Linked DNA regions of Callithrix jacchus. The protein of the gene in region 6 purifies or fractionates together with the protein of the main gene of each other region. This does not show direct contact. Links are inferred from orthologs where the notes say so. Each region holds a gene or a part of one and is shown on either strand. Other genes may lie near its edges. The genes, in order: RAI14, GSK3B, PPP1R12B, YLPM1, TRIOBP, PPP1CB and PPP1R12C.

The links.
Region 1: the proteins of PPP1CB (region 6) and RAI14 purify together in Homo sapiens (affinity purification with mass spectrometry; 3 studies listed by BioGRID and IntAct, with this or other methods). This does not show direct contact. The link is inferred for Callithrix jacchus from reciprocal best matches to the Homo sapiens genes PPP1CB and RAI14.
Region 2: the proteins of PPP1CB (region 6) and GSK3B purify together in Homo sapiens (affinity purification with mass spectrometry; 3 studies listed by BioGRID and IntAct, with this or other methods). This does not show direct contact. The link is inferred for Callithrix jacchus from reciprocal best matches to the Homo sapiens genes PPP1CB and GSK3B.
Region 3: the proteins of PPP1CB (region 6) and PPP1R12B purify together in Homo sapiens (affinity purification with mass spectrometry; 4 studies listed by BioGRID and IntAct, with this or other methods). This does not show direct contact. The link is inferred for Callithrix jacchus from reciprocal best matches to the Homo sapiens genes PPP1CB and PPP1R12B.
Region 4: the proteins of PPP1CB (region 6) and YLPM1 purify together in Homo sapiens (affinity purification with mass spectrometry; 3 studies listed by BioGRID and IntAct, with this or other methods). This does not show direct contact. The link is inferred for Callithrix jacchus from reciprocal best matches to the Homo sapiens genes PPP1CB and YLPM1.
Region 5: the proteins of PPP1CB (region 6) and TRIOBP purify together in Homo sapiens (affinity purification with mass spectrometry; 3 studies listed by BioGRID and IntAct, with this or other methods). This does not show direct contact. The link is inferred for Callithrix jacchus from reciprocal best matches to the Homo sapiens genes PPP1CB and TRIOBP.
Region 7: the proteins of PPP1CB (region 6) and PPP1R12C purify together in Homo sapiens (affinity purification with mass spectrometry; 3 studies listed by BioGRID and IntAct, with this or other methods). This does not show direct contact. The link is inferred for Callithrix jacchus from reciprocal best matches to the Homo sapiens genes PPP1CB and PPP1R12C.

Annotation. Positions count from the first base shown.
Region 1 is NC_133503.1:170,831,362-170,834,861, forward strand, and holds part of RAI14 (ankycorbin), read right to left. Parts: intron 1,846-3,500; coding exon 1,739-1,845; intron 1,093-1,738; coding exon 914-1,092; intron 682-913; coding exon 653-681; intron 1-652. UniProt on the Homo sapiens protein: Plays a role in actin regulation at the ectoplasmic specialization, a type of cell junction specific to testis. Important for establishment of sperm polarity and normal spermatid adhesion.
Region 2 is NC_133516.1:82,946,573-82,950,072, reverse strand, and holds part of GSK3B (glycogen synthase kinase-3 beta), read right to left. Parts: intron 3,327-3,500; coding exon 3,288-3,326; intron 659-3,287; coding exon 472-658; intron 1-471. UniProt on the Homo sapiens protein: Constitutively active protein kinase that acts as a negative regulator in the hormonal control of glucose homeostasis, Wnt signaling and regulation of transcription factors and microtubules, by phosphorylating and inactivating glycogen synthase (GYS1 or GYS2), EIF2B, CTNNB1/beta-catenin, APC, AXIN1, DPYSL2/CRMP2, JUN, NFATC1/NFATC, MAPT/TAU and MACF1.
Region 3 is NC_133520.1:29,524,376-29,527,875, reverse strand, and holds part of PPP1R12B (protein phosphatase 1 regulatory subunit 12B), read right to left. Parts: intron 3,408-3,500; coding exon 3,201-3,407; intron 715-3,200; coding exon 519-714; intron 431-518; coding exon 318-430; intron 1-317. UniProt on the Homo sapiens protein: Regulates myosin phosphatase activity. Augments Ca(2+) sensitivity of the contractile apparatus.
Region 4 is NC_133509.1:109,711,145-109,714,644, reverse strand, and holds part of YLPM1 (YLP motif-containing protein 1), read right to left. Parts: coding exon 2,185-3,500; intron 1-2,184. UniProt on the Homo sapiens protein: Plays a role in the reduction of telomerase activity during differentiation of embryonic stem cells by binding to the core promoter of TERT and controlling its down-regulation.
Region 5 is NC_133502.1:208,776,827-208,779,037, reverse strand, and holds part of TRIOBP (TRIO and F-actin-binding protein), read right to left. Parts: intron 1,214-2,211; coding exon 1,127-1,213; intron 283-1,126; coding exon 121-282; 3' UTR 119-120; intron 1-118.
Region 6 is NC_133515.1:86,290,010-86,293,973, forward strand, and holds the start of PPP1CB (serine/threonine-protein phosphatase PP1-beta catalytic subunit), read right to left. Parts: upstream 2,801-3,964; 5' UTR 2,614-2,800; intron 2,501-2,613; 5' UTR 2,414-2,500; coding exon 2,362-2,413; intron 1-2,361. UniProt on the Homo sapiens protein: Protein phosphatase that associates with over 200 regulatory proteins to form highly specific holoenzymes which dephosphorylate hundreds of biological targets.
Region 7 is NC_133523.1:47,976,420-47,979,919, reverse strand, and holds part of PPP1R12C (protein phosphatase 1 regulatory subunit 12C), read left to right. Parts: intron 1-1,846; coding exon 1,847-1,977; intron 1,978-2,056; coding exon 2,057-2,175; intron 2,176-3,500. UniProt on the Homo sapiens protein: Regulates myosin phosphatase activity.

The DNA.
Region 1 (3,500 bases), on a different chromosome or scaffold from region 6:
AGTTAGCACATATATTCAGTATTAGAGTATTTGCTGTTTGTAATTTCTTCAAGAACCTAGATGTGTAAATAAATAGAACAACCAAACATACACTGTTCGTCAAAAAACAGTGACAACGTATTTTTAGAAAAAAAAAAAAAAAAAAAAAAACCAAACAGTAACAGGGCAAATTCAATTTCTACTTTCTGTAACACTATATGACATTCTAGAAAAACCCTAATTAAAAGAAGAAGCTAAATTCTCTTATTACCATTAAATAGCTAACGTTTTCTGGATTGCAGGTCTGTAGCTCATGTGATATTACAGGTACTTCAAACACTGTTATTCATTCGCAGAGTTTAAGCCACATCAAACATGTTCACACCAATAGGAAGTATGAGTTAGTATATTTCAGAAAAAGATGAACATATAAGTAGCAAGTTTAACGTTACATGCTTTTGAAATAAAGCAAATTATTAAGAAAACCTTTACCACCTTTAACAGTGAATCATTTATTTCAAAGATATTTCAGTCCTTAAGTATTTTCAATACAGTCTTTATTATTTTACTATTGGACCACAGAGTGGTTAAATCTGAACACAGTGGTTAAATCTGAACTTCAGAATTCCCACAAGCATAAATGAAACAAAAAGCCTCCCCCAAAGATAAATACCTGCTTTGGTTTTGTTGAGGTCTTTAAATCTAAAGAGGAAAAAGTGAAAAAAATAACTATAAGAACCATAATGATTCATATTCACTTTGGGTAGGGGGATACACACACACCACCATACACAATAGTTTTTAAGACTCAATTTTTCTTCAAAAATGTGTTTTAAAAATAACAAAATATATCATATTGCACACATTCCTTTATCCTTTGGGGAAAATGGAGTAGATAAATTTAAAACAACATTGGCTATTTTCTTTCACATACCAGCATCCTGAGAGATTTTTGATAATAGAAGGCTTTGAATTCCTGCATGTTCTGAGAGTCTGGAATAATGTAAGGCATTGTGTCCAAGAGAATCTACAAGGGTTAGGTCTGCACCCTTTTTAATTAAGGCTTCCACAATGTTAGAGCTGCCAATCTCACAGGCCAACATGAGAGCAGTTCTAAAGGAAAAGGGAGACACAAAATTAGTACTAACGAAATGTGCAAACTCTTTCCTGGGAAATCAGTTGTCTTAAAAAAAGAGAGAGAGAAAGAAGATTAAGTGCAGTTAAACCTTTATTACACTTAATCTTTGGGGAATTTGAAGTGGAATGCTATCAAGATGAAATTAGGCATTATTTTTAAAACTTCAGATTAAATCAAAACATTAAACCATATTTAGTCAAACAACATAATCTTCTATACTATTTGGCATAATATGATGGGATTTAATATGACTGGCATGAATCTTATCCTTTTTCATCTCAAGCACTTTAAATAACATATACGCTGCTAAGACCATTTCTCCAAACCAACCAATCGGTTTATTTCATTTTGCATAGAAAGTCACAGGAAATTGCTTATTCATGTTAGCATATAATAGTCTCCTCACAGACTTAGCCAGCAATGATGTCCACAGATGTCTGGGGAAAATTGCTTTTAGGTCAACATAGATTCTTGATGATCAAAAACAGTAGAACTTTAAAAAGGTAAGGAGTTTAAACCCCTTTATAACAAATGATCCAAAATATAGCTGTGATATTTTGAAATACTCTCAGAATGTGGATATCACTGAAGTCACATGATTTCTGCCTAATTCTGGGGTACCTTCCACTTTTGTTCCTGGAATTGACATCTGCTCCATGATCCAGGAGAAAGTGACAGATCTCACTGTGACCATTTTGTACAGCAAGAAGCAGCGGTATATTCCCATCCTAGGAGACAAATTCAGATTTAGATTTTAACTCAGGCACAAAATGCCAGAATTGCAAAAGTCAGCCCCTGTTCTTTGCGCATGCTTTTCCTGACTTAGACTGCTGATCTAATATCTGGTCCATCTTGATATTGTGTCCCTATAGAGCCACATGTGTATGTCAGTACAACTCTTCTTAGGGAATTTCACTGAATGCTAGCTTTTCCATAGCAGCTCTAGCTTCTTGGGCTGCTTGTTCCCGTGGCTATCACTGTTTGGGTGATTGTGAGAGAGGGTAGAACACAAAGTGTGTAAAGGCTAAAGGCAAGTGTACCATGTGTACTGAGGGATAATGCTGGAGAAAGGAAGGACGAATCTCTGCACGACATCAGAAGATCCCACTGCCCTATAGGCAGCTTCTTCCCCATGCACTAATGATTATATATCCTGCCATTCCACTCTTAACCAGAAAGTATACTTTTTAGTAATCTTGCTAGGTATAAAAACATAACATAAATTAAGAGCCTATGTCTATTACTAACACATGACTAGATAAAGAGATGCATAGAAAGAATAATATGTCATGACAATTGCAATGCCTTTAGGAAGAAGGAAATCTAGGTCTCCAACTCATATGCAAACCATGTCAGGTGGATTAAACTTTTAAACATTACAATATAAAACAAATGATGAAAACTACTAGAAGAATATATATACGTATTTTCTGTAATCTTAGGCCTGACACAAATAACACAAAACGTAAAGAGAAGTATCCTTTACGTTTTTTTTTTTTTTTTTTTTTTTTTAACAACAATTCACAATTCACAAGGGCTCTTCTGTACACAACATTTAATAGGGAGGTGGGAGGGAACAACAAAGGCAGAGTTGGGGCATCAGACCAGGGCAGGGCTGCAACTAGGGAGAAGAAATCAGTTAGCAGGCAGGCTACTACAAGCAGCAAATGGAGAGCCCTCTCACCCAGCCAACTCCAGGAGCTTCTCTGGTCCCTTGTGCTCTACCCTGAACCTTAGCCCAAGAGCCTGTTCCTCATCTTCAGCAAAGGACAGCAGGGCAGGACCTGAGTTGGTCTCTTCAGGGGCTGTCTTGAAGATGGCTGTTTTAGCAGAAATGAGGCTGACCAAAGGTTTCTACAAGGCACCTTGCATGGACTCTGGGGGTTGTAGAACACATGCCGTGACATCCATGCATTGGAGACCTGTATTTAAACATGGGCTAGCTGCCCATCCTGGGATCTTTGGCTAATACCCTTACCCTGGGTGCCCCTATCTGAGAATGATACTTTGGGCTGTTGAAGAGCCTATCTGAGGAGCTCTTGGGTTTCCTGGTTAAGTTGTAAAGTCATTCTGCCAGAAAGGTTATTACTGCAAAGTCAGGACCTGGTGGGCTGGGCTCACCACACCCTTCCAGCTCTGATTCCTTGGTATAAATGTTCCTCTTGAGATGGATGTGTGTCGAGGTGAACACCGAGAGCACTTGGCTGTAGCTGGGAATAGGGTAGGCAGGATTTGCTCTTGGTCACACTGGAAGGATACCCAGACCATACCCAGACACTGTTCTGGGATACAGTGTCTGAATCCTCAGCAGCCACTGCTCCTGAGGATACCTATTTAGGAAATACATGCTTCAAAATGTTCTTCTAATGCTTTAGAAACCAGT
Region 2 (3,500 bases), on a different chromosome or scaffold from region 6:
CTTAGAAAGGGTTTATAGGATTCTAGTTTTCCTCCTGTTTGGAAGACAACTGAATTTATACAAATACAGCCACCAATTCATTTCCAGGTTTAAAAAATTGATCCAAACTCTACGGAAGCAAGAAATGCTACTATTTTAAGTTTCAGATCCAAACTTAAAGATGAAATTGTACATCAATCCAATTAGTGATAAACTTCACTCACTGAATTCTCTGTAACTTCTCATGTGCCAACATTATATTCTGCTAAAAATTAAAAGTTTTCCAATAGGCATAGCTTCTTTATGTGCTAGTCTTTTGTTCAAAACCATGTAAGTAGTGGCCAGCAAATCAGAAAGAATAATCTTTTCACCTTCATAAGTACTTAATATGTCCATTTTTGTCCTCCACATATTTTAATTAATGGAATGTCATTTCACACCCAGTGTGTAGCTTTCCTAGAAATGGTGAAAGAGCTAAGTATTTGGAGTTACCTTGAGTGGTGAAGTTGAAGAGTGCAGGTGTGTCTCGCCCATTTGGTAGTTTGACATTTGGGTCCCGTAATTCATCAAAAAATGAATGTGCACAAGCTTCCAGTGGTGTCAATCGGGCAGTTGGTGTATACTCCAGCAGACGGCTACACAGTGCAATCGCCTCTGGTGGAGTTCGAGGTCGGAAGACCTGCAGTACAAAAAAAGGGAAAGAATAATTAATGTTATATGAATCTAGGCAAGTACCCTGTGAGTAATGACTTAATTCCTACCATGTACAGAAACATGGTTGCATTTGGGAAAAGACCTTCTAGAATGGAAAGAGTTAAGTGCATATGCTTCACAGTGGTGAACTGCTGATTAAGACTATATGAGAAATGCTCGGAGAAAAAAATCTATATATGCTAACCATAAAGCAATACAATCAGACATGCATACAAAATATGACAGGCACATGGGAAAGGCTACATTCTGGAGGCAAGCACAACTAGAAAAACATTTTTAAAATTTTAAAGTTTTCACTGCTATGGCAGTAAATAAAAGTTTGCCTCTTTTGCATTTTTTTTTTTTTAGCAGAACAACTGTCAATGATGGGCAGCATTGTTGAAAAATCTGGCAATCAATATCTTAAAAGAAAGAAGAGCTATTTACTCTAGGTCTACAAATGCTACTGATTTGATTATCTCCAATAAACAGAGCCTATCATTATTTGAAGAAATTCTTGAAAAACTAGAATTTGATAAAATGTCCTATATTTTTTTCTCAAGTAGCTATTACCATCGATGTGGCCAGATTTCCCTCATTTGAATAAATATTCCAAGGTTTTAATCAAGGAGAGAAAAATATATTATCCATTAAGAATGATTGAGACATGGAAAAAGTCAACTGAAGGCTATATTGAAGGAAAGTTCAATTAAATTAATCTACTTAAAGGAGTAGATAGCTTTCTACTCATTTGTGTCTTAAATAAAATAAAACTAATCAATAAAAAAACTATAGAAATATACTTAATTCTAAATTATGACCAGCTACAAAATAAAAATAAAAAGGGAAGGAATAGAAATAAACAGATGAGGAACTTTTGAACTAAAGAAAAATGAGACATATATCCCTTGATAGGAAGAACACACAACCAAATAAAAGGTGTGATGATGGAGGTGGACAGACAAGTAGACATGTATAAACGGAGGGAAATGGACCTATAAGTCAGAAAAGCCCATTCATATTGTGACAGGGCATGAAGCAGCCTGGGAGACTAAGATTTTCTAGTAAGATTGGTTAATGTAACATCTGGTTGTTCACTTATGCTGACAGTCAGTAGAACTAGTTACAACCACAGAGCTCATTAGACTTTCCAGAGACTATAAGTATTGTCTACAGTGAAAAGATTTTATTTTAGTTTATTATTGAAAAAGACATTTTCCATGAAAATTGAGAAATTACGTAAAGTAGGCTCTTAGAAATTTATTTCAGAACATTAAGGTCTTAGTCAATTTCTTGGATATGTGAAAAAGAAAACCTTTTTATAAGGTCAAAACCTGCCTTATCTTTATTCTTTTGAATACTCTGACTTGCCTCAGTCAAGAAAACCTTTGAGTTATTGAAATGTTTAGCTCTTCCACTGTTCTTGTCCCCTCTCTTGCTCCCAAAGTCCATAATCAAATACAGAATGTAAAAAGAAAATAATCAGTGGGAGAACCCAGAAAATTTTCATAAAAATATTAAACATTATTGGTATATTTTATCCCTGAGGGCAAGTTTGCTTCTGTTTGATGGTATATAGATTTATTTTGCTAGCTAATCCAAAATGTTTTTGCACCAATATGGCAGCACATAAGTGGAATTAAAAGTAGCACCAAAGGAAGAAATAAGTATCTCCCGCTAACTTTCAAATGTAGGATAGATGGATGGTGAGTTATTTTAAATAAAAAATTTTCATGTTATATTTTCCAAGATTTTGTGTTAAAGCTATTAATAAACCAGTATTATAAGCTTATTTTCAATATTTTTTTAAGTCACCCATATATTTTGGTGTTTTACTGGCTACAAGTGATCATCCATATTGGTACTAAAATATTTATTAGCATATATTTGTCAGGGAATCTTAACTCATGAAGTTCAAGAGTTAAAAACTATAAAGAAAATAATACATTCCAAGAGCCTACATAAAAATCAAGATTTAACCTGCCTTTGCAAAAAGTATACATTGTTATTTTAAACCCTTAAGAGATTCTTGATGAGAAAAGCCTTGGTTCAGTACTCAGTGAATAAAGGTTAAGTGGAAAATTAAGTGGGGCCAAAACCCAGTATCTCCCACAGTTCAGATTTCTGACCATAATACAGTGTGAGTTAGCACACAACTTCTAAAAATTATAGGGAAAACTAGAAACTAGCTCATCTGAATTATTTCTGCTTCTAAAGAAAAGGAAACCACCAAGAACTGAAATGTGTCTTTTAATTAAAGAAGCTTCTGCTGTCACTTCTTTCCTTACTCATTGACATTGCTTAACACACAGACCTTTGGTTTCATGGATCTTCATCAATATTTATTCTTGCAATAGAAATAATAATTTTAAACCCCCACAATTCCCAAACTTCAGCCTAGATGTCTATGAATCACCCAAGAGACTGACAATCTAAATATATTATAAGCAAAACCTATGCCATACAGTGAATAAAAACAGAAATCGCAGCTACTTACATCGTTTACTATTACATTTCAAGAATGAATAATTGTTTAGCCTTTCAAAAAAGGTTTCCCCCAAGTTTTATAGACCTGCCCTGAAATTTTGGGAAAAAAAAAAAAATTAAGTACATACCCGTACTCCTGAGGTGAAATGTCCTGTTCCTGACGAATCCTAAAGATGATAATGCAGTGAAATAATCCAAACAGGGGAAGTCAATCCAAAAGAGAATAGTCCAGCAAGGAAAAATATATCCAATGTTATAAGAAATCCATGGTGTGGGGGGGACATAGAAAATGTTTATACAGTTATAAACTTTAAACATCAGTCTCCACAGTAGCAAGTCCA
Region 3 (3,500 bases), on a different chromosome or scaffold from region 6:
AACTTGACAAGCTTATTCACTTGTTATATTGGTTTATATGGCTGTTGTATATTTCCAGTTTTTAAATTATTTGCCAATTTACTGAGTGCCCACCATGTGCTTACATGTGCTTCTCACTGTATTAGATACTGGGAATCTAGCAGGAACATACAAATGAGTCCCACACTAGTTAGGTCTTTCTTCTCTTTTCCTCAGTAATACTTCTCGAGAATGTGCAAAATTCATGGCACCATGCAGGACTCTTTATTTTAAACTCAACTGAAAGGATGGTGGCCAAGAGTAGTATGATATGCCTCAGCACAGACCAATCCACTTACATCATTTGTCCAGAAATTGATGCCTGTGCCTCTTCGCCGTTCCTTGGGCCGCCTCCTCTCTCGAATGGACAGCCTCTTAGAGGACTGCTCATCCAAATCTGCTTCTTCATTCTCTGGCCAGAGATAAAATAAAGTATGGACTTTAAGAATATGGGGGATGTGCACTGTGGAGGGGCCTGTGTCTTTTGAAGCTCCACATACCATTTTTGTCCATTTCCTTTGCAGTTGTAGTGTTTGTGGTAGTCTTTGAACTCTCAGAATCCGGGTCTGAGAATCTACTTGTCCGTAGCAGGTGGGAACTGGAACTGGTGTAGAGTGAGGGTCTTGATGTAGAAGGAGACGATGGCGTGGTGGGTTTATCTGTCTGAGTTGGACACCTCAGGCGACGACAGATAGGCTAGAAATAATCCACACATGAGATATCAGAAGTCAAGTCCATCTAAAGGATAAGAACAGCAGGTTTATACAAAATGTTTTTGTGGGTCAAGATGGCCAGGGAGAGACCTATGTTGATTCCAGCTAAATAACTGTAAGCTTGCTTGACTCAGAATACACTGAAGTTTATACACTGAACTAAACTACATTATTGGGGCAGTTAATTAGAAATCAAGCGGCAACAGAGGCCTAAGGTAAAGACCATCCAAGAGCGCAGTAATACCGGGGAACACCTTGGGGTGGTTGCAGAGCAGGGAATACTGCTCTGGTCCCACAAATGCCTTCTCAACATGGACACTGTATAAGGGCCTCATAAAGAGGGCTTATGCAAAGATCTCTGAGAAGGGAGGCGACCTGTGCTCACAAGATCGGGGAGAGTCTTTGCAGATGGGAGCTGGCAAGGAGGAGAAAAGCCTTGCAGGGCAGAGATCATGGAACACCTCAGACTCTGCCTAGGTTCTCTTAATATGGAGTGATGTTAATTGCTCTATGTCCTCAGTGCTCAGGAGATAAAAGCCTTGTTGCACTGGGTGTGGCTCCTAATCTGCTATACTGCTGATGCAGCCGCACCCTGATAACAATCTGTGACAAACTCAGAGTACTAGTTTAGCACATTTGTCCCCCGGACCCATGCTGTAAATTCTACTCTTGTGTCTCTGTCTTTATTTCCTTTTCTCAATCCCTCATCACTGCCAGGACTAAGGGCACCCACTTATGGGGTTGGGCTGGTTCTCAACATTTTTTTTTTCATATTGAGAGGCTTATGAGTAGATGATGATCAATACTGAGTACCTGGTAATAGGCACTCAATAAATGAACTAGACAGCAAAAAACCAGCTGCTGGACTCCTACTCTGAGAATCCTATCATGTTGGGAGTAGTCCAAGTAAATTATTCATAAATTGACCAAAGGGTACTAGATAGCATTAACCGTGTAAATAAAAATTCCTTTGATCTTGGAATGAAAATAAGAATGATGGCCTTTTTTAAGATAGAGTGCTGAAAGGCAAGGTTTATGTAGGGTAATAAAAAGCTCAGAAGCATGAAGCAGCAAAATGTAGAAATTGTCTGAGAACAGAGAACAAATGTGAGTATCCTACCAAGTTCTGAACACTCTACCAGCTTGCCATAACTAGGCTTTCTAAAGTTTCCATTTTCATTTTTGTAGTGTTTTTGTTTTTGTTTCTTTCCTGAGAGTTAGGACAGATAGAGCCTAACAATAAGCCTTAACTTGGTTTATGGAAGACTCAGAGATAGATAAATTCTTACTATACATTAAATTTATGGCATAGCGATTGTACAAACTTTTGTGATTTATAAAGACAGATACAATAAAATGTAGTAAATTTGGAGTCCGACAATCTTTGTTCAAATTCTAGCTTCAGCATTTACTAGCTGTGTGACCTTGAATAAGATACTTAGCTTTTCTGAGCCCTAACATCCTCATCTATAAAAAGATATAACAACTTCTTCAGAGAGGATTATGAGGATTAAATAAGAAAATGTGCATTAGGTGCTTAGAAGAATACCTGGTAATAGGTGCTCAATAAATAGTAGCTTATAAAACAAACAAATACAAAATAGAACTTCAGTTTATGGAATCTATCCATTCAGAGTCACAAAGCAAGAAGGAGATTCCTTTCTTCTATAACCACAGTGACCATAACATTAATCAGTTCAAACTGGGACACTTTTGAGAGTGCAAAAGAGTGGTAATGATAATTACACAAAGACAACAATTATACTTGGAACCACCTTAAGTAAACCAGGAGTTATGTTCACCCTAAATATAATCTTAAACCTCTGACTACCAACTCCACTAGAGCAATGAAACATAAATCAAAATGACCCTCCCAACAGTGACACCCACGAGTGCTTTGTAAGCCCTTAGGTTTGCAAGAGTTTGAAAAACAATACACTAGTGGTTAAAAGAGCAAGTCAGACTGCCTATGTTCAAACTCTGGCTTAACCACGTCTTACTGTGTGAAATGTTGGGCTTAAATGTCCTTAACCTCTGTGATTCAGTTTCCTCACATATAAAATAGAAATAGTAATATTTACCTCAGAGGGTTGTTATGAGAATTAAATGAATTAATACATATGAAGAACTTAAAATAGTGCCTGGCATAAAGCAAGCATGTACTGAGTAAAGTAAACACTCAATGCATGCTTACATTTTTATTTGCATTTTGTTATACTATGACCTCCCTTTTTAGAAGAGGACATTTATTCAAAAGCGTCACGGAACTCTCAGAAGAAAAAAATGATCATTTAAGGACTGACATCCTCCAAAGTTTTGTCACACAGGTTTGCCAACTAAAGACAGGCATACAGAGTGAGTTGTCCACTGCAAGGCAGAACATAGCCTTTGAACTATCAGTGAAGAAGATACTCCCCAAACTAATTACCCTGCTTTTATCACAGTACATGCCAGCAAAAATGAGCTCACCTCTTCATCCAGACTCCTGCCCCAGGGCTGCTGGCCCTCCCCAGCTTCCGTTGCTGGGACTGCTGAGGGCTCATGCTTCTCAGGGCTCCCCTCAAGCCCCCCTTCAGTGTCTGTGGGCTTCTCACAAGGCTGCTCCTGAGCTTGCCTCTCTGCCCTCGACCGGCTGAAAGTCCTTTCTGCTTCTTGAAGATCTGTTAGGGTGACACCCTGGGAAAATATCACAAGATCAGGGCTGTTTCATACTAACCATGGAATAACTCTTGATGATTGAGCAGGAGTATTCCCCAAAAGATCAAATAG
Region 4 (3,500 bases), on a different chromosome or scaffold from region 6:
CTCAAAAAAAAAATGTGGCTTTCAAAAAAAAAAAAAAAAAAAAAATGTGGCTTTCACATCAGTTTTTAAAATTTGAATTAGCTATTTACAAAGCAAAATATTTCACATATAAATTCAAACCTTAAAGAGATTTGGTAACACCAGTCCTACATTCCCACATGCCAACAATCAGCCGAGTGCAGCAAGGCTGCCCATGTTAGATGAAACAACGTGTCACAATCTTCACCATACTCTAGAAAGTTTGGCCCACTTTCACTCATTTTTGTTATCTGATTGTTGGGGACATTTTAATTTATGGCCCCTGCTGTAGATGGTGAAAACAACTGTCAGTCTATATCTTTAAAAACAACACTTCATCTTCCTGAAGATAATTATGTAGTCCTTCAGTTTTTCTTTAAATTTCTGATTAAATTCCTTTTACTTTTCTTCATAATGTCCACCTTAAACATGGGTAAAATCCACTACAACTTCTTAAGACCTCTTACAATTTTCTCTTCACAGTAAAGTAAGTGACCCAAATGAACCCAAAAGGTCAAGTATGTAAGACTATTTTCTGCTCAGGTAAATCACATCCCTTATGATACTCCTTATAACTTTACACTGACATAACATAACCTACTTGTCTTCAATTATAACCACATTATCTATCACTCCATATATATTATTTAATTATGTTCATGTTGCCCAGAAAGCTTTAAAAAAGGATGAAACAGCAGCAGCACCTTTTACCCAGCATTGCCATGCAAAGCAATAATGAATTAAAAAGAAATTTCGAAAGGAAAAAGAAAGAAACCTTGGCAGCTTAACAACACCAATCAGCTTGGTATTCTCCATAAACAACACAGATTTTAGAGTTGGACAGATTGAGTTTAAACGCTGGGTCTGACACTTACTAGCCAAGAGAACTTAACCTCTCTGAGCCTTAGTGTCACTTGTGAAGTGGGGATAATACTATCTTATCTTTGCAGGCCTTTGAGATAGAAGAATTTGAGATAGACAGACTAGCATAATATACACTCAATTATCAGCAAGTGCCCAGTTACATGGTAGGTGTTAAATTAAAGGTGTCCACAACTTAAAAGTGAATAGTGTGGTAGCTATACACTCTATAGCATGCTTTCTACATTTTCCTCATGAGTAACCTGGAAAAAATAAACCTTTTAGCTATAGACCACAGAAACCTGCCGTATCTGATCTTTCATCATTACTGTTTCTTCACCACATTTTTCTTTCCTAGTTCTAAAGTTTAAGTTATAATTTATTGGTAAGATCCACAAATATAAACCAGAATTGAAAAATGGAAGAAATATATTGGAATCTATCAAAACCTAATCATTAATTGATTTTTCTAAAAAAATTTGCTTTAAAAAAGCTTGCAATCTGTCACTGACTTCTAAATTCCTATCCCAAGATATAGCTGGTTTAAAGATTAAATGAGTTATAATACACAACACACTTAGGACAGTTCCTGGCCCAGAGTAAGCATGCAATAAATGTTAGCTTTTGTTATTATTGTTACTGTAACAGGAAAATTACGTAGATACCGATACACAGTAGATTGTAAGTCAAAATATCCTATTTTCCATTTCACAAAGAAAATATTTGGCTACATAGAAACAAGTACCATCATCAAGGAGAAATATCTGCTTTTAGTTATAATGAAAGACAAAACATCCCAAAAAAGAAAGTATCAGTAGTTAGACAAATCTGAGGATGCTTCTAAGCAAACCATTCTTAGCTTCAACAAAGAAAAATACAAAAAAATACAGCACTTCCCAAAGTTTTTTCAATGATCAGTGAATATAAAGTCTATCAGATCTAATACCAAAGAACAAATTGCTTACTGGAAAAAATGAAGGTTACACATGAGCCCTGTGAAATCCAGAGCACTGAAAAGTTGAAGTTTGACACCTACAACATGCGGCATGGCATGCCAGCAACACATCTACAAAAGCCAAGACAGCAATTAATTTTCACATTTTAGGGCATATGTTTATAATTAACACAGTTCTTAAATACTCATCCTAACCCTAAAAACAGCACTGAATGACCAGAAATATAAATTAAAAGTATGTGTTAAGAAGTTGAAGTAAAATGATTACATTCAAATATATCATATCATTTAAAAAGAGCAGTCTGAATGTGGTTTTTACTAAAAGAAATGATCTGAAGGAGTCAACTTACCGAAGCATTTTCAGTTCTTGTGCAGCTTTCAAAATGATTTCGTGCTGCCTCTGACTGAGAACCATTACCCCTCCAAGGCCTTGGTCAGAGTCTAAGCTTGCATCGGACCCCATCATTTCTGAGGAATGATGTGAGGAGGGCATATGTTCCGCCATGGGGGAATGTCTATCCACATCAGATGGGTACCATCTGTCTGACAACCGTTCTCTTTCCCAGTCCATTCTGTCAGGAACATAATCTCGCTTTTCCCGCCATGTATCTCCTCTTTCTGGATACTCTCGAATCCTCAACTCACCCCTATCACGGAAATCTCGATCATACCCATGGTCTCGATTTCTTTCTTCTCTCCATCTATCATCCCGATATCTATCCAAAGGTGGAAGAGGTGGGAGGGGCGGTAAAGGTGGAAGAGATGGAATATCCCGTTCACGAAACTGTGATTCTTGTTCATCCAGTGGTCTCCCATAATCTCTGTCCCACTCATTATCCAAATTTCTATCATACATATCCATGGGTCTTCCAATCCGATCCACATCCCTGTCCATGTCCCTGTCCATTTCCCTATTGTAGTCCTCATCCATATCCTGGTCTCTCTCCCAATCATCCCACCAAGGGCCTCGCCTGTCTCCATCATGAGATCGAGATGGTGGTGCTGAGAACCTGTCCTCTCTGTTATAGAGCTCTAGTGTATCATCTTGATAGTCATGTTCACATTCTCTCCAGTATCTCTCTCTATCCCAGTCATCAAGTCTTTCTCGTTCCATTGGAGCATTTCTACCATCTAATGGGAACTCTTCATGCCCTCGTTCTTCTCCATGATTCCATGGAGCTCTAGGAGGCTCATCTCGGTGATATGGATACATTTTTTCCCCACCATCTCCTGGGTCTGGTCTGAATGGACCTCTATCACGACCAAAATCTGATCTTCCCAGTCCCCTTTCTCGACTGCCAGGACCTCGAGGTGGTCCTCTCTCCCTGCTCCCAGCTCTTCGGGGTGGTACACTCTCTCTACTCCCGGCCCTTCGAAGAGGTCCTCTCTCCTGACTACCAGCCCTCCGAGGTGGTCCCCTTTCTCGGCTGCCAGCTCCACCCCTGTCCTGGCTGCCTTGCAGACCACCTGGCACTTTCTCCCGACTGCTTCCAGGCCTCACCAGCCCTCTGTCCCGGCTGCCTTCTCCTCTGTTCATCTTCTCTCGACTGTCTTCTCTCCTACCCATCATTTTATCCCGAAAGTCTTCTTGCTTGACCAATCCTGGGCCTCGACTGATTGCCTGGCCACGACCTCTGTTTACTAGTCCTTTATCCCGTGTGTCTTC
Region 5 (2,211 bases), on a different chromosome or scaffold from region 6:
GAACGGGAATTGGAGGCCAGAGGAAGGAAATGCCCTGGCTGGGGTGGCCCAGGGAGTCCCAGGTGTGGGAGAGCCTTAGCCCCGGCCCAGCCTGCAGGGTGCACGCCTCGGCACCCACCTCTACTCAGCCAGGCTGTTACGCATGGCCTCCTTTTCCTGCAGGGCGGCCATGGCAAGGCGCAGGTGCTCCTTCAGCTGCTCGATCTCCCGTTCCGACCGCGTCTTGATGTGGCTCAGCTCCACGTAGACGTCCTGGTACTTTCCCGAGGTGAAGCGCTTGTCCTGCATGGCAGGAGGCAGGTATGAGGGGACGAAGCCTCTCCCTCCATCCCTGCCCACCTGGCACTTGGGCAGCACCAGCAGCCAGACCTCCCTGTAGCCCCCTTGCTTCAACCATCCAGGTGGCTCCCCTAGGTGGCCCTGTTCTTGGTCTTACCCCTCCCACCTCCCTGGTACCACCCAGGGACACAGGCGTAATTGGCATCCTCCTCCTGTTTAGGAGGAGATTTTGCCCAAGACTGAAGGGCAGTGAGTGGTTGGGATGAGAACCAGGTCAGCCTGGCCGGGTGCTCGGGCCCTTCCCGTGAGTTCACACCACCTGTTCTTCAAGCACGGTAAACTCGTTCTGGCTCAAATATGCTTAAAGAGTCCACTTCCCGCCCCAAACTGACAGCACCAGGCAGGGACACAGCAGCTAAGGGTGGGCCAGGTGGGTGACAGACTCACACCTGGGCTGAACCCCGACACGCCCAACTCCTAGCAATGTGGCTATTCTCCCTTGAGTGCAAGGTCCACACAGCAGAGATCTGGGCTATTTTGTTCCCATCTGTCTTCCCAGCACCCAGCGCAGTGTCTGGGACATAGTACGTGCTCACTAATCACCAATAAATTAAATAATGCTAAATAAATAGAAGCAAGTATGGCCTTCGGCAAGTCACTTCCCCATTCTTAGCCTCAGTTTCCCTGTCAGTGAATGGGGATGACGACACCTACATGGGAGAGGCACAGGAGAGCCTGAGGAAGGATGAGGCAAGTGGAGGGCTTGGCACAGAGCAGGTATTCACAGGATGGCACCCAGGTGGCTCCAGAGGCCCCCGCGACCCCCACGCCCAGTGGCAGGGCCTACCTTCTGCATCATCTGGAGCTCGTCCCGGAGGCACTGCACCTCCTTCTTCAGGTACTGGAGTTCGTTCTCTTTTACTCGAAGCAGCACCTGGGGATATAGGTGCCAGGCTGACCCAGGGCCAGAAGGCAGAGCTACCCTGGCCCACAGCGCCCTGCAGCCTGCCTTCTCTCTGCCTCAGGCCCCTAGAATGCAGCCCCTATCTGCACCAAAACCCTTGACATGCTGGAGTCAGATTCCTCCAGGAAGTCCTCTTTGGTTCCCCTGCTTCCGCTTCCTCTACTCTCACCCCTGTCCAGCCTGTGTGAGTGGCTATCTCACAGTCAACTCTGCTGCAGCCCTCATGCAGCACCAGGCTCTCACCTCTGGGTTAAGGAAGATGAAAAGAAGCCCTACATAAACCTGGGCGGCTGGGTCACCCCACAGGCCACCTCACTAACCCCTCCCCAACCCTGAGGGCCAGGTGCTGCTGACTTGACCATGGAAGAAACAAGTTCAGCCAGGACTGGGGAGGCTTAAAAGGCTCAGACTGGAGCCAGACTGCCTGGTTCAAGTCCCAGGCCAGCTGTGCAAGCTTTGGTAAGGTACGTGCTCTCCCTGTGTCTGTCTCCTCATCTGTAAATGCGGACAGTAACAGTAGCTAACGTATGCAGCTGTCAGGAAGATTAGGTAAGTTAACAGACCAAAAGGACTTAAATTCTAGGCAGAGGGTGAACCTCACCTAGGTGTTAAGAAATAAAATACTAAGGCTAGGTGTGGTGGCTCATGCCTATGATCCCAGCATTTTGGGAGGCTGAGGCGGGCAGATCACAGGAGTTCAAGACCAGCCTGGCCAACATAGTGAAACCCCATCTCTACCAAACGTATAAAAAATTAGCTGGGTGTGGTGGTGAGAGCTTGTAATCTCAGCTACTGGGGAGGCTGAGGCAGGAGAATCACTTGAGCCGGGGAGGCAGAAATTTCAGTGAGCCGAGATTGTGCCACTGCACTTCAGCCTGGGTGAGCGAGTGAGACACTGTCTAAAATAAAATAAAATACTAGAGTGATCCTCGGATCACACACACATATTTTCTTACCCCAGTAAGGGA
Region 6 (3,964 bases):
GGGGGCACTGTCAAACTAAATATGCTTCCGTAGGATGTAGAAATAATGAAACTCTACTGATAGAATACTACTCTCTGTCTTATGATGAGCAAAGGACAGAGAGGAGGCTGAAAAAGCCTGAAAGTCACTTGTTTATACTGGGAGCTCCTTGAGTGAAGAGATTGTGTCTTATCTTTGGATTCCTGGTGCCTGGTAAGGAGGAGGTCAACATGTTAACGCCTGCTAAATTAAGAGAGAAATGTGTCTGGACTACAATTCTTACGCCCCCCAAAAATGGAAAAAAGATTGTATAAAACCAATTATTCAATTTGAATTCACAAAAACAAACGGAATCCCTTAAGCTATTTTTCCCAGTGTCTTTTTTTCCAGTAACCTTGCACAACTCACTCATGAAGTTTCTGAAATACCTATAATCATAAAAGGTGCATCTAACCTAAGAGGATACAAACATTTTAAAACAAGTCTGGTTTATGCCTATAAAATATATGGAAAATTAAATAAAATATAAAGAAGTTGAGATACAAACATACTTTTAAAATATTTAAATTTACAAGCAAAGTTTAAAACATACAAAAATGGGATGGGTGCCATGGCTCAAGAGGTCAGGAGTTCAAGACCAGCCTGGCCAAAATGGTGAAACCCTGTCTCTACAAAAATACAAAAAAATTTATCCGGGCATGATGGTGGGGTACCTGTAATCCCAGCTACTAGGGAGGCTGAGGTGGAAGAAGCGCTCGAAACTAGGAGGCAGAGGTTGCAGTGAGCCAACATCCTGCCACTGCACTCCAGCCTAGGCGACAAAGCCCTCCAGCCTGGGCCACAGAAGGAGACTCTGTCTCAAAAAAAAAAAAAAAGTAGGCCTATCCTTCCCCAAATGTAAATAAGACATACACATTTTGAAATTAACTGCATTTCCCTCATAGAACAGTTAGAAAATACAAATTTTTTCAAAGCAAATTTCCTCAAAGAACCAGCAAGATGTTCACATCTGTTCACAAAGTCTTACGTAGTCAACACTGACTGCAGGCACCAGGGGGCCTCCCAGGAATAACTTGATAGTAAAGGAAGAGGTAAATAAGAGTTCCTGGTAAAACTTTTGCTTCAGTCTTAAGACTGCTGGATGGCCTTCACATCTGGAGCAAATATACCCTAGTTACACAACCAGTACTCAAAAAACTTGTGTTTTAGATACCAACACATTCGTTGAAAAAAAGGAAATACCCCTTCCCCATCACAATCTTCTTTGATGATTTTCCAATTATAAGTACATTTTGCTTCACTGTAGCAAACAATTATCTTCAGGTAATTTGAAAGCAAACAGTACATATGCAATCCTTGGACGGCAGCTAACAGAGGCCTCCAAATTGCTAAAAAAGGTTTAAAGGCTTTTCTACACACTCACAAATTAGTGATGACACAAATTTTAGGGTAGAGGACTGTTTGGCAGAAGACTGCATTTAACTTGGAATAACATCCTGCAATGAATCAATAACATTGAACTCCTGGCTAGTCTACCTCTTCATTTTCCCCCCTTACCTTCCCACCAGCATAGAACTATTCAATCAAAACACTAGGGCCCAGAAAGCTCAAATGCTGCGTAGACTTGCAGATACCTTTTGAACATAAGGCAGGCTTTAAAAATAGGTATTCACTAAGTTTGTGCAGAAATTAAGCTCTGCTCAAATCAAACGCAGAAGCCTTCAGCAAAGGCATCTCCATACTTCCCATGTCTTACGTGCATCTTCAACCTGATCACATATTTTGTCTTACAAATTTTTTTTTAGGCCAAGAAACAAATGGCGGAAAAAATTCCCGCTAATTTTATCCTCTCTTTAATAAGAATCCATTCTGTAGCATCACGTAAAAATGCAGAGCAGACGAAGCAGTCCTCATGACAGGTACATATATACACACACATAATTCACTCCCGAAACGACAAACGGAGGCAGCCAAGGGCAATGCACAAAGAGAACAGAGAAGAAACGGATTCCATCGACACAAAGCCCGGCGGCAGGCATCCTCTCTGCCACCTCGGAGGGGTCACCGGAGGCGAGAACGACGGCGCGCGGAGCCCGGCGGCCTTTCCGAAAGGCTCTTCCGTAGACCCGCTCCGCACAGCCTCCAGCCAGCGCACCTGGCCCCCAAGGGTACGCGGGGACGGCCCCCTCTCCCCCGATCGCACTCCCGGGGGCCGCTCCCCAGCGTCCAGCAGCCTCCTCGCCCCGCCAGCCGCGCCGCGCTCCCAGAGACTCGTCTCGGGGCGGGAAAGGGGTCCCGTCGCGTTTCGGCGGCGGAGGGGGACGCTAGGGGTCGGCGGCGACGCCCAGCCTCCCTCTGTGTCGCGGCCCGGCGCGCACTCACCCTCCAGCAGCCGGGTGATGAGGCTGTCCACGTTCAACTCCCCGTCCGCCATCTTGTCGGCACAGACTCTCCTTCCCGGCAGCGGGAACAAGGGCTTCTCGGCGGCGGAGGCTTCGGCGACGGCTCGGCGTTCTCTCACCTACAAGTCACGCGGCGTTTCGACCCCGGCTCCAACTCCCCCTTTTCCCGGGCCCTCCCCCCACCCCCTCCCCGCCGGGTAGCAAGAGCGCGCGCACAGTCGGAGGCACCCACGGAAAATAAATAAATAAACAAGAGGGGCCCCCACGAACAGGGCCGCGTCAGACCCAGGCCGCCACCTCCTCCTCGGCACCGCCCAACTCCGCAAAGCTCACCAGCGCCGCCGACGGCCCCACCCGCAGCGCCACTCACTCCGCACGGCCCTTGCCCGCCGCCGCGCAACGCAGTTCTCTGCGCAAGCGCGCGGCGCGCTCCTCGCCGAGGTTTGCCTCGACGCCCGGGCCGCCGCGCAGTCGCACTGGAGCGGCTTCTCCCGTCGCCGTCTTCGCGCAGGTGCGTCGCCCTCTCTCTCCATGTCCACGGCGCCAAGTCTCGCCGCGGCGGCGCAGGCGCCCGGGAGGTTCCCCGGCTTTGCAGCGCTAAGGAAACCCGGGTTACGCTGGGCGCGCTGGGGCAGGGCTGACCTTCCCATTTCTCTGCTCCACCGGCCCTGGTTTCTCCGCAGACTTGGTGGTTGCGCCCTTTCGGCCTCGCTTTTCTTTTCTTGGCTTCATCCCCTGCACCTGCAAGCAGTTCCTCGTGTTTCTTTCGTTAGCCGAGAAACGCGAACTGCAGCGTTTAGAACCCGGCTTTGCGCGTGTGGAAAGCAATAAAGGGTTACTCTGCTGGAGTTCGACATTGCAAATAAAGATCTTTATCCCCTGCGGTTCCACAAAGCTAGTTCCGCAGGCATTCTGGTTGAAGGAAGAGTTAAAGTGGGCCCTGGAGGAGTCAGCAATAATACAGTATTCATGGGTGCAGATGACTGCCTGTGTCTAGCGCTTTCTCTTATCTTAAATCTCCATCCACACCGTGGGTTTTTTTTTTTCCACGGTGTGTTTCTGTTCCTGTCTCCAGTATATTGCTTAATCGTCATCCTACCTGGTAATTATTTTTCCTTTTTTCTCCCACTCTCGACTCAGCTCCTAGGTGATAAAAACACACTAACTTACCTTTATGCCCACTGCACCCACCAAGTGTTTCCATCCCATAATACCGCCTCTAGAAAGGCAGGAGGAGAAGCAGTCAGGCTAAGGATCTAGGCAAGCCTAATCTTTTGTCCTGTTTTAGGAGGTGGCCAGCCCTTACTCATTCCACAGGTGTTTTTTTCCAGACCTGATGTTGCCCCAAGCCCGAAGCAGTGCCTCCCCAACTCATGTATCGCTTATAGTAGCTGACATTTGTTCAGATCCCTGGATGGGCTCTGGCACGGTTGTGTGTGTGTGTGTGTGTGTGGTTTTCACTCACGTTGTTTCACTCTTGTTGCCCAGATTGCGGTGCAGTGGCGCAATTTCGGCTCGCTGCAACCTCTGCCTCCTGGGTTCAAGCTATTCTCCTGCCTCAGCCTCCCTAGTAGCTGGGATTA
Region 7 (3,500 bases), on a different chromosome or scaffold from region 6:
TGGGTTTGGGTCAGGTCTGGGTGTGGGGTGACCAGCTTATGCTGTTTGCCCAGGACACCCTGGTTTTAGCGCTGAAACCCTCAGTCCCAGGAAAACAGGGACGGTTGGTCACTGTCTCTGGGTGACTCTTGATTGAGTCCCGGCCACTTTGTCCATCTGGGAATGTGTTTCTCGTTCTGCATCCGTCTCAGGGCAGGTCCCCAAGCACCAGCCCCCTGCTGTGGCTGTTCCTGAGTTCTCAGGGTACCCCAGGTGGGTTTATTAACCACTTGGTGAGGCTGGTACACTCACCCCATTCCTGCCCCCCAGTTGCCTTAGTGGCTAGGGGGTTGGGGGCTAGAGTAGGAGGGGCTGGGTACAGGATCCTTAGGGCTCAACAGAGAAGAGCTGGGGGCCTGGGCTTCTGGGTCTGAGGGGAGAGGTACTGGGCCTAGACTCCTGGGTCTGAGGGATGAGGGACTAGGGCCTGGACTCCTGGGTCTCAGGGAGGAGGGGCTGGGCCTGGACCCCTGGGTCGGAATGCGGAGGGGCTGTAGACCTGGACTCCTGCATCTGAGGACAGAAGAGCTGGGGGCCTGGGCTTCTAGGTCTGAGGGAGGAGCGGCTGGGGCCTAGACTCCTGGGTCTGAGGGAAGAGGGGCTGGGCCTGGACCCCTGGGTCTGAATGAGGAGGGGCTGTAGACCTGGACTCCTGCATCTGAGGGCAGAAGGGCTGGGGCCTGGACTTCTGGGTTGAATGGAGGAGGGACTGGGCCTGGATTCCTGAGTCCCTGGTGCCCAGGCCTCAGGCATCTTTCACAAGGATGCCTGCGCTGGGCAGGTCCTTGAAAGGGAAAGGCCCATCTCTCTCCTTGCCCCCCCCATCACCATGACAACTGGGTGGAAATAAACGAGCGCAGTTCATCCCGTTCCCAGGGCACGTGCGGCCCCCCTTGCAGCCTGAGTTTCCATGACCTCATGCTCTTGGCCCTCGGAGCTCCCTCCCGCTTCTCCAGATGGGCAGCTGTGGAGAGGTGAGCGACTTGGGGGGCTAATTTGCCCCTGGATCTAGGCGTTTAGCTTCACTCCTCCTTCAGCTCCAGTTCAGGTCCCAGGGCCCACCCAGTGTCCACAAGGCCTGAGGTCAGTTCCTCTGGCCCCTGGATTTTGGCTTTTGTCTCCCCAAGTTTTTGACTCCTAGCGGAAGAATGAGCAACGATGGCGCATGTAAGCCCCTGGCTGCAGTTGCCCCGTGCAGAGTGGGCCTCAGTGACCAGGAGTGTGACTGCCTTGGGCCCTGGGCACACAGGTGTGCAGCTGCCTCACCCCTCAGGGAGTGCTGTCCAGGCCCCTGAGTCTGTCCCAGCACAGGGTGACCTTCCTGCAGAGTATCTGCTGGGGTTGTTTCTAGGCCTGACCCTTGGAAGGACCTGGCTAGGTCTGAGGCAGGAGGGGCTGGGGACCTGGACTCCTGGCTCTGAAGGAGGAGGGGCTGGAACTTCTTCCCTAGTCTGAGCACTGGAAGCGCCACCCTGTGGGTGGTGACGGGGCTTTTGCTGTGTCTAACAAGTACCATGTGGGATTCCCACACCCGGATGAGAAGCCCCAACCCTTCCCGTTCACTTTCTGTTTGCATGTAGCCAGGAGTCCTTTTGTGGTTTCCACTGAGCGCTGAAGGCCTGGCTGACCTGACCACTGGGCAGCCAGGGTGTCTGAAACAGCTGGTGGCTAGAGGCTGCTGGGTCATTTTCCCCACTGTCACTAGCACCGTGTCCCTGGGTCTGTTTTTGTGGCTCCTCTGGAGCCCTGCCTTGCTGGGACGATGTGGCTGGGGGAGGTGTGGCTGACGGCTGTTTCCCACCCCCAGGCCTGCATTGATGAGAACCTGGAGGTGGTGCGCTTCTTGGTGGAGCAGGGCGCCACTGTGAACCAGGCAGACAACGAGGGCTGGACGCCCCTGCACGTGGCCGCCTCCTGTGGCTACCTAGACATCGCCAGGTGAGGCAAGGGAGGGCCAGGCAGGACCTGGTCAGGGTGGGGACCTGGACCCTCAGCCCTGACTGACCCCCACCCCCAGGTACCTCCTGAGCCATGGGGCCAACATCGCCGCCGTCAACAGTGACGGGGACCTGCCCCTGGACCTAGCCGAGTCGGACGCCATGGAGGGGCTGCTGAAGGCGGAGATCGCCCACCGAGGTGGGCTCTGGTGTGCTTCGTGTGGGGTGGGGGCCCCTCCTCACCTGTGGCCTCCAGGCTGAGAATTTTAGAGGCTGTCTGGGCTCCAAGGCTGACCCTGCTTCCCAGGAGTCTTTGTCTCTCTCTGAGCCTCAGTTTCCTCACCTATGAAATGGGGGCATAGGGACCTGCCTCCAGTATTGTTTGGAGCCCATTGGAGGCACAGGATGAGAACTCAAGCTGCTACCAACTGGAAGTATTATTGGACTCCCTGAGTAACTGAGGGAATTGAAATGCCGGGGTGGGGGTGGGGGGCAGGTGGGCTGGGGGGACTCGCCCGAAGTGCGTTAGGTGGGATTGCTGGGACCCTGCGGCAGGTCTTTCTGGGAAGGGATGTATTTACTTCGGGGGGAGTAGAGGCATGCAGGGGCTGCCAGGGGCTGGTCTCCCTGTCCTTTGAGACTGGTACCCTGGGAGCCTTCATATGGGGTCCAAGAGCCCCTGAATCTGCCTGGCCAGTTCATTTCTCCAGGGAAGGGGTGTTGCTTCTGGCAGGTGTGTGATGATCACTGAGGATCCCTGGGTCCCCAGTGTGGCTTCTAAAGTCCAACTTTCTGAGCTTGCCTCCCAGCTCTGCCAGTGACTGGCTGACTCCAGGCATGTCCCTGAAGCTCGCTTCCCTTAGTTCCTGAAACAGGACTACAGGCACCGCCTCCTGGGGTGGTTGTCAGGGTCTGGTTGGGTGTCAGTGGAAAGGTGTGAGCTTAGTGCTGGCAGGCTCCAGACCCTTTAGAAGGAAAGGGAGAGTGATGAAGATACCAGCAGGCTTTCACGTCTCTGACGTGGTGTCCCAGGGTCGCTGGCCAGGCTGAAAAAGGATAGGGTTCCATGTGGGTTCGGGATCACGAGAGCCACATGGGAGAAGTAGCTATGGGACACATGGAGGCGGAGATCTGAAGTTTGGGAGCCTTTCTTTCGTTAAAATGGGGAGTGGTTGAAATCAACTCTGGAGCTGGATTCTCTCCTCCCTCCCCAAACTTTTTGTTTCATATTTACAGAAAAGTTGAAACAGTAGCCTATGAGTACCCATGTGACTTACACTGAGACTTGCCAGTTTCTTTTTTTTTAGATAGCTTTTTGAGATGTAATTCACATACCCTGCAATTCACCCAAAGTGCGCACTTCAGGGTTTTTAGTATATTCACACGTTCACCACATTGACTACAGAACATTCTCATCATCCCCTCAGATGTCACCCCGCCCTCAGACAGCCCTCTCTGCCCTTTGTCTCTGTAGGTTTGCTGTTTTGTACACTTCACATAAAGGGAATCATACAGTATAGAATC